2 linked regions of the Struthio camelus genome follow. The protein of the gene in region 2 purifies or fractionates together with the protein of the main gene of each other region. This does not show direct contact. Links are inferred from orthologs where the notes say so. Each region holds a gene or a part of one and is shown on either strand. Other genes may lie near its edges. The genes, in order: MSN and VCAM1.

Region 1 (3,904 bases), on a different chromosome or scaffold from region 2:
GAATAGCTTTCTGCAGGGTCCAGAGCATATGATATATAGTGTTAGCGTAAAGCACTCCAACTTCTTTATCTGCCCCAGTACTGAAAGCAGAACTACTCTGTAAGAACAAGAAAGCCGTAGACTGAACACAGGCATCCAGCCTAGGGTGTTGCCTCCAGATTCAGAGGCTACAGTGAGTACCTTGTAACACAGTGTCAAAACGCTTGGACTCAGCCTGTTAGTAGGGGAACCCTGCCCACCATGGCTCTCTGCAATATGTCAACATTTTCTGGTTGATTCACACTAAAAGAAGTCACTCATCACAGCTGTACTCTTCACTGACTAAAAAGTCTCAGTAGCAGTTTACACAGAAGTCCCCTCATCTGAGCCACTTCCACTCTTTTTACTGAACTTTTGCCTTTTTTAGGAAGAGGTAACTGTTCACTAATCATTAGTGATGTCTGAAGAGACTACCTTTTTTAAAGCTTTAGAAAATATTGTCTTCTTAACCTTTAAGAGTAACTTGAGGTTGATATCCTTTAGGATGTCGATGTTTTAAAATACACACACATACACGAATGCACATGAACCCAGCTATTGTCTCAGAGTGCTGGCATATAAGACAGCAGGACAAGCAGAAATCAGTTAAGCAGGCACTTACTATCTATTGTAAAGTGATAAAATTAAACTATTTGTTAAAAAAAAAAAACAGGGTGGATTCTGTTTCAGCTTCCAGTTGTAGGGCTTTTTATTATTATTATTTTCTGTTAAATGTAAACTATAGACTCATAGTTTACATGTTAGATGTTCTTAAGCCATTTTGGACCATTCTTAGCGAGGAAATGTCCAGAGCCTTCCAGCCTGCTCCTTCCTGTTTTACCAATGAAGGGCAAGGACCAATTCTTTTGATTCCAACCAGGAGAGATTAAAATGGAAAAACCCATGCTCCCTATTAGTCACTAAAGTCCTGCTAGAAAAGGGAGAGTCAAGTACAGACTTGACAAGACTTTCTGAAGTACCAACATCTCTGCAGCCAAGAAATACTTTGAGTCAAGCTGGGACAAGGCTCCCTAGCAACTCAAACAGACTAATTATGAGTTGTGAAAACCCCAAACTTGTGTTCTTTACAGACCTCACGAGAGGCAGCCATATAATTAATTAATTCCCACTGTGCCCTAGAAAGCTTTATCCAATATGCTTTTAAAAACCCCTCCTTAAGATCAGAGCTCATCAAGGAGCACACAAGCAAGCAGGATAGAAGGTGGTACTGGTGATGCAGGGACAGGGGGAAGAAAGTACCTCTTTATAAAGCAGAGAGAAGACGTTTTAGAGAGAACAAGCAGTTTCGGGAGGGGAGTTGCACAACTGCACCGTTAGTCAGCACCCCCCGGGCAGGGCGGGCAGCCGCAGAGGGACCCGGCGCAGAGGGACCCGCAGAGGGACCCGCCCGGCCCGGCCCGCCCGCCCGACGGGAGCCCCCCCGGGGGGCAGCGGGGCCGCGGCCCGGCCCGGCCCGCCCGCCCGACGGGAGCCCCCCCGGGGGGCAGCGGGGCCGCGGCCCGGCCCGGCCCGACCGCCCGCCCGACGGGAGCCCCCCCGGGGGGCAGCGGGGCCGCGGCCCGGCCCGGCCCGACCGCCCGACGGGAGCCCCCCCGGGGGGCAGCGGGGCCGCGGCCCGGCCCGGCCCGGCCGCCCGACCGACGGGAGCCCCCCCGGGGGGCAGCGGGGCCGCAGCCCGGCCCGGCCGCCCGCCCGCCCGACGGGAGCCCCCCCCCCCCCCCGGGCTGTGCCGGGCGCCGGGGATCGCGGCGCGCCAGGAAGCGGCCGAGAAGGCAGCACAAGATGGAGGGAGGCCGCTCCGCTCCGCTCCGCTCGCCCCCGCGCCCCGCCCCGCCCGCCGCATCTCCGCCGCCGCCCGACCCGCGCTCCGCTCGCCCGAGCAGCCCCCCCCCCCGCCGCCGCCTCTCCCGGCCCCCCGCGCCCCGCCGGCGCCTCCCGAGCCCCCCCGGCGGGAAGTGCTGCCCGCGGGGCGGCGCGGGGGGAGCTGGGGCGCTGCCTCCCCCGCCCGCCCGAGCCTCCCCGGCCGCGGCGCCGCCACCCCGGGCCCCTCCGGCCGCAGCACGGCCCGCCCGAGCCCCCCGGCCCGGGCGCCGCCACCCCGGGCCCCCCCGGCCCGGGCGCCGCCAGCAGCCGCCTCCCCGCGGCGGGGCCGGCGGCCGGGCTCGGCGCACACACCGTTTTCGGCATCTTCCCGGCGGGCTGGGCGCGGCGGGCACGGCAGGTCTCTCCTCCTACGCCGCTGGGGCTCGCTGCGAGCTGCCGTCTAACGGGACGGGACGGGACGGGACCGGACTGCCCCGCCGCTCCGCCCGCGCCCCAAACCCCGCCCCGGGCGGCGGCCGCCTTCGCCCGCGCTGGAGCCGCGCAGCCCCCGGCCCCGCCCGGCTCGGCCCGGCCCTCCCCCCGGCCCTCCCCCCGGCCCCGCTCCCCCCGTCCATCCCCCCGGCCCTCTCCCCCGGCCCTCTCCCCAGCCCCGCTCCCCCGGCCCTCTCCCCGGCCCTCCCCCCCGGCCCCGCTCCCCCGGCCCGCTCCCCCATCCCTCCCCCGGCCCCGCTCCCCCGGCCCTCTCCCCGGCCCTCCCCCCCGTCCCTCTCCCCGGCCCCGCTCCCCCGTCCCTCCCCCCCGGCCCCGCTCCCCCGGCCCTCTCCCCGGCCCCGCTCCCAGGGCGCGGCCGAGCCCGCTGCCCCGTTGCTGCCTCGCGGCACCTCGTAGCCAGGCTTCCCCAGCTTCTAAAATTAGCTCCCCGAAAAACAGGAGAAAGCCGTGAACTCTGAAGTTTACTTACATCCCAGGTGTCACCGAGACTTTTGGTCTTTGCTGACAGTACTCTTTTAAAAATAACGTTGTTTTACAGACTATTACACTTTTCAAATTACATTTTCATAGTCATAAAAACAAGACCACAGCACTGGCATGCGATAGATCTTTTTGTCTTTCATTTAGTCTGAATCATGCACGCTTGGGGTGCAGCTCAGCAGTGAAGTAAGTCAATAATCTCCTGAACACGGGGTCTTGGATGATCATGCTTTTATTTACCCGCTGTTTGCAGTGCCTGTTCGGCTAGAAAGAACCTAGCATCCTGTTTCAGGGGTTTGAAAAGCATCGCAGACACAGAAGGGCTTTGGCTCCCTGAAACTTGGCAGGCAAACCACCCTTAATCTTCAGACCTTCTCAGAGGCTCCCAACATAATTACATGGTATAAATGAGCAATCAAATTCATGGATTAAGAAGCTCTGAGGACCAGCTGCAGACCACTCACCAAACCTTCTCGTGCCATCTGTGTTTTGGAACCTCTGGTAGGGAATGAAGGTCACAGGGACTTTAAAAAGGCATTTCATCTCATTTGCTACTTTGAACATACTTTAAAACAGTGACCCTATTCCTATTTTCTCCCAGGAAGAAATGCCATTCTTTTTAAAGTTAACAAATTGTGTGCAGTAGAAGGAAATGAAATCTCAATAAATTCAACCTGTATCTGTTTTTAAGGAAAGCAGTAACTTATCTTTTTTTTTATCTTTCTTGAACTTCATTTTTTTCCAAATCTGCTAAACATTTTCAGATCTTTAAGACATCTTGCTTCATGGAAAGACCATGCAAGACTAGCTGGACTTCATAACCCACTTCTTCCTTGAATGTGAATAAATGAAGGTTATGTTAACATGAAAACACATAAATCCAGCTATAAAATGGAAAAGGGGCAAGCCAAGATCTACTAGGCAGTTCAGCACAGATTCCTGCTGAGTAAACTGTTTTCTTTAATTTGATTAGAGGATTCTGCTGGGATTAGTATTAAATTGAGGCATGTTGGGAATTGACATCAGATTCATAATAATACTTTGTAAATCTTTAAAAATTGCACTTTAT
Region 2 (3,904 bases):
TTATACACAATAGCAATTTTATACATGTTTGCATTTAAAATATTTTCTATATAAAATACAGGCATTTAAGATTTAACTTGCATGCTCTTCTGCAAGGGACCAAATCCAGAAGTTCCAGTTATCTGTTGTTCAGACATTGAGTTTGAAACAGGTTATTGCTTTAATTCCTGACTAACATGTTTCATAGCTAAAAATAAGTTACTTAGTCTAATCATTTTAAGTGTTTGTTCTTTTGCTTATGGGCCCAAGTACTGTGGTTGCCAAACGTCTTCAGTTCCTTTAGACACATGAGAAGTGGTAATGCTCATCCTTTGGTGGGTTCCGGCCCAAAAATTACTTCATAGTAGAATGAGATCTTAACCCTGGGTGTCCCCAAGTTTAGCTTTATTTTGGCAGTAATTCTGAATGTTTTCCAGAACTGGAATGGGGTGGCTGGAAGAGCTCTTCCTCTTCTGCATTTGCACCACAAAGCTAACAAAAGCACAGTCACTGATTAGGAGGTGCAATTAGAACGACGATCCTCCACTCTCCAAGATACGTGCACAGTGTTAATAAAATAAATCTTGCAAGTCTTCTATGTTCATGTTACCTTGCTAGGCCTCCTAATCTTTCTGATATTGCCACTCAGGTGGTACACCTGATTGTAAAAGCTCCATGAACTTCAGACTCTAGGAAACTTCTCTTACTTTTCCCCAGGTCCTTGAAAGTGAATAAAAAGCTGTTTTCACTTGTTGTTTCTCCGTGCCAAAACGTGTTTTCTTGTTTTCATTTTGAAGCCTCAGCTTCTTGCCTTGGTTTAATCCTGACTTGAAGCAGCATTTTTTCTGTGATGACGGCGACTTGTTATTTAGAAAAATAAAACAGTGGTATGGGGATTTCAAATACATCACAGCTGCGCAACAGGCTTTAGGCCAAGGAAAAAAAAATGAAAAAGGAAAAGAGGAAATCTTCCTTTCCTCTTAAAGCAGTTTCTGCTGAAACTTTACCCACTTCAGGTAAGGTAAGCAAAGCATAGAACATTTTAAAATACAGCCCTATGACTATAAGGTTTACTCCTTGTGGAGGATGATACGTCTGTTCCTTCCTTGTTATTGTCTTACCACTCAAATATCATCAGGAGAGCTGCTAACTTTTAATAATTCTGGTCACCCAACGCAACAAATTCCTATGCTCCCACATCCCTATTCTCCTTCTCAAGCAGACGTGATTTAGATGTTACTGCTCTGATCGCCTTAATGAGCAGTGCCCGTGAATTTAGGGTGGGATTAGCGTCTTCCAGTCTTCTGTAACAAAAGGCAAAGAGTGCTAAGTACCACCACCACCACCACCACCACCACGGAAACAGCATCAGCTGTGTCACAAAAGAGGAAGCAAGCAGCCAAGTGATGAAGAAAAAACCAAAGAATTTCAGGTCCATTCCTGAAAGAAATCTTGAGGCTGCAGTACTCACCACGGAGCAGCTCCACTTCCCTCACCGCTCTGAGTGGGAGGAGTTGATGCCTTTCCAAATGCTACAGAGAATCTGTCGTTTTATATTTAGCAGAGGCTGTGAAATCCCACTTTAACAATAATGCATTTAATGGAAACACCATAAACTGGTAATTGAATAGATAAGGTTAGATAGAGAACTCTAGTCTCCATATTGCATTATTTTTCACTTAGTTCATTGCCATAGACAGAGGCCTTTGTCAAAGTGTGTTTCATTTAGAGAGTTTTCCAAAAAAAAAAAAAACTACTAAAAGGGTAGGTTTTTTGTTTGTTTGTAACAGTTTCCACAGGTGGCATCACGCAGAAGTTTGCCAGGGGAAAGCTCAAGGAGGGTCTCGCATGGGGTGCAGGGATGATAAAGGAAGGGGGAAAGGAAATAGTTCCTTGGTGGGTTTTGTTTGTTTGGAGAGTTCTTTTTTTTTTTTGGTGGCATGACATTCATCCGTTGTTCACAAGTGAACCTTGTGTTTCAGGGAGCCCATTTTAAAGAGATACTGAAAGAATCACATAGATTACATAAAGACAAACTTGCACTAAGCCTCAAGAGAGATGTTCAGCTGCCTATCTTGTATTGAAATCTTTAAAATGAAAGCAGTTACGTATGCTGCAGTATTTACCAGTTATCCCAGACTTCTCAGTCCAGCCTTGGGGCTCGTCCCCGCCGATGGGCGCTGCTGCGCGGGCGGAGGAGCCGAGAGGCAGCGAGCACCGACGGCCCTCGCCTTCCCCGGCGCCCGGAAAGGCAGCCGCGGCAAGAAGTTTATCGCGGCAGAGACACTGGAGGGAAGGGAGGACTGCGGGATTTCAGTCGGGAGGGGAACCGGGCGTGGCGGGAGAAGCCTCGGCTCTCCGACGGCGGGCACCGCCGCGGCCAGGCAGCGCCCGCCATTTCGCGCCGCCTCAGGCGGGAGCGGGCCCGAGGCGGGGGCGGGGCCGGGCGCGGCCTCCCGCCCGGCCTCGGCCCGCGAGCGCCGCCACCCGGGCGCCTCCGCAGCCACCACGTCTGGGCGGGGCGGGGCGGCGGGGACCCGCGCGGGGCGCCCTTCAGCGGGGTGCGGCGCTGGCCGCCGTCCCCCGCCGCCGCGGCAGCTGCGGGCAGGGCGGCGCGTTGGCGTTGGCGGCGGCGGGGCGCGGGGCGGCGGCGGCCTCGGCGCGGGGCAGCACGGAGCGCGCCGCCCGGCGGAACTCCTCGCTGCGCCACGTGTAGAGCAGCGGGTTGAGGGCCGAGAGGGAGCAGAGCAGCAGCCAGCTGGCGGCCTGCAGCGCCGGCGGCGCGGGCGGCAGGAAGAAGCCCAGCAGGCTCACCCACACCAGGGGCTGCGTGCCCAGCAGGAAGACGCAGCAGAGCAGCAGGACGGAGACGGTGCTGAGGCGGCGCTGGGCGCGGCGGGGCGGCGGCGGGGCAGCAGGGAAGGGCAGCTGGTGCAGCAGGTGGAAGTTGAGGACGCTGACCCGCTTGGCGCTGCCCCGCACCCGCCGCACGATGCCGAGGTAGCAGTGGAGCAGCAGCGCCGTCTGGCTGAGCACGGCCAGGGCCAGCAGCAGGGCGGTGTAGCGGGGGCCGCCGTCCGCCTGCCGGCCCGGAGGCGGCTGCTGGGCAGCGGCCGGGGCCCAGAGGCCGGGCAGCAGCGGGAGCAGGAGCAGCGCGAGCACCCAGGAGAGCCCGATCATGCAGCCCGTGTGCCTCCGCTGGTAGAGGGCCTGGTAGACGCTGGGCAGCTTGGTGATGAGCACGTACCTGTTGAAGGCCACCAGCAGGTGAGAGGCTAGGGAGACGGTGAGGCCAAGGCCGAGGAGCCCCCCTCGGAGCAGCCGGTACTCCACCGAGCGAAGGGAAGAGGAGTTGGGAGGCAGCAGCCCCAGCACGGCCTCCTGGGGCATCCACAGGGCACAGATGCTCAGGTCGGCGGCGCAGCCGTTCACGATGAAGGCGTTGCTGGTCGTCTGCAGCTTCTTGAAGGAGAAGACCAAGTAGATGACCACCACATTGGATAAGGTCCCTGAGATAGCTAATGCCGCATAGAGCAGCGACAGGAAGATGCGGGTCCCGGAGGAGTCCTCCCAGAGCAGCAGCAGTGGCGAGCTAGCGCTCCAGGAAGAGGCGTTGGGCATCTCGCTGAATGCGGCTCAGTTTTGACTTCTCCCCATAAATCCCATCCTCACCTGGGTCAGAAGATCCTGCTGCAGAAGTGCCCCACCAAACACAAGGGAGAAGGTGCAATCAACAGCCTCTAAAGGCAGGCTTCAGGCAAACGAGCTGCTAGGTCCAGAAAATGCAGTTAGCAGCAAAGATCCAGCAAACAGCAGTGCCCAGCGCAGGTAGCTAGCAAGAGATCCCACAGACTGTAGCTTGTGTAAGTGGGTGCATAGGACGCAGAGAGCTGTTAGCAGACAGCAGCAGGATTGAGGATTTTGT

The links.
Region 1: the proteins of VCAM1 (region 2) and MSN purify together in Homo sapiens (affinity purification with western blotting; 3 studies listed by BioGRID, with this or other methods). This does not show direct contact. The link is inferred for Struthio camelus from reciprocal best matches to the Homo sapiens genes VCAM1 and MSN.

What each region holds. Positions count from the first base shown.
Region 1 is NC_090952.1:29,427,692-29,431,595, forward strand, and holds the start of MSN (moesin), read right to left. Parts: upstream 2,407-3,904; 5' UTR 2,227-2,406; coding exon 2,215-2,226; intron 1-2,214. UniProt on the Homo sapiens protein: Ezrin-radixin-moesin (ERM) family protein that connects the actin cytoskeleton to the plasma membrane and thereby regulates the structure and function of specific domains of the cell cortex.
Region 2 is NC_090949.1:16,041,626-16,045,529, reverse strand, and holds the start of VCAM1 (vascular cell adhesion protein 1), read right to left. Parts: upstream 2,401-3,904; 5' UTR 2,106-2,400; intron 1-2,105. Other genes in the region: GPR88 (G protein-coupled receptor 88), read right to left, coding at 2,533-3,600. UniProt on the Homo sapiens protein: Cell adhesion glycoprotein predominantly expressed on the surface of endothelial cells that plays an important role in immune surveillance and inflammation.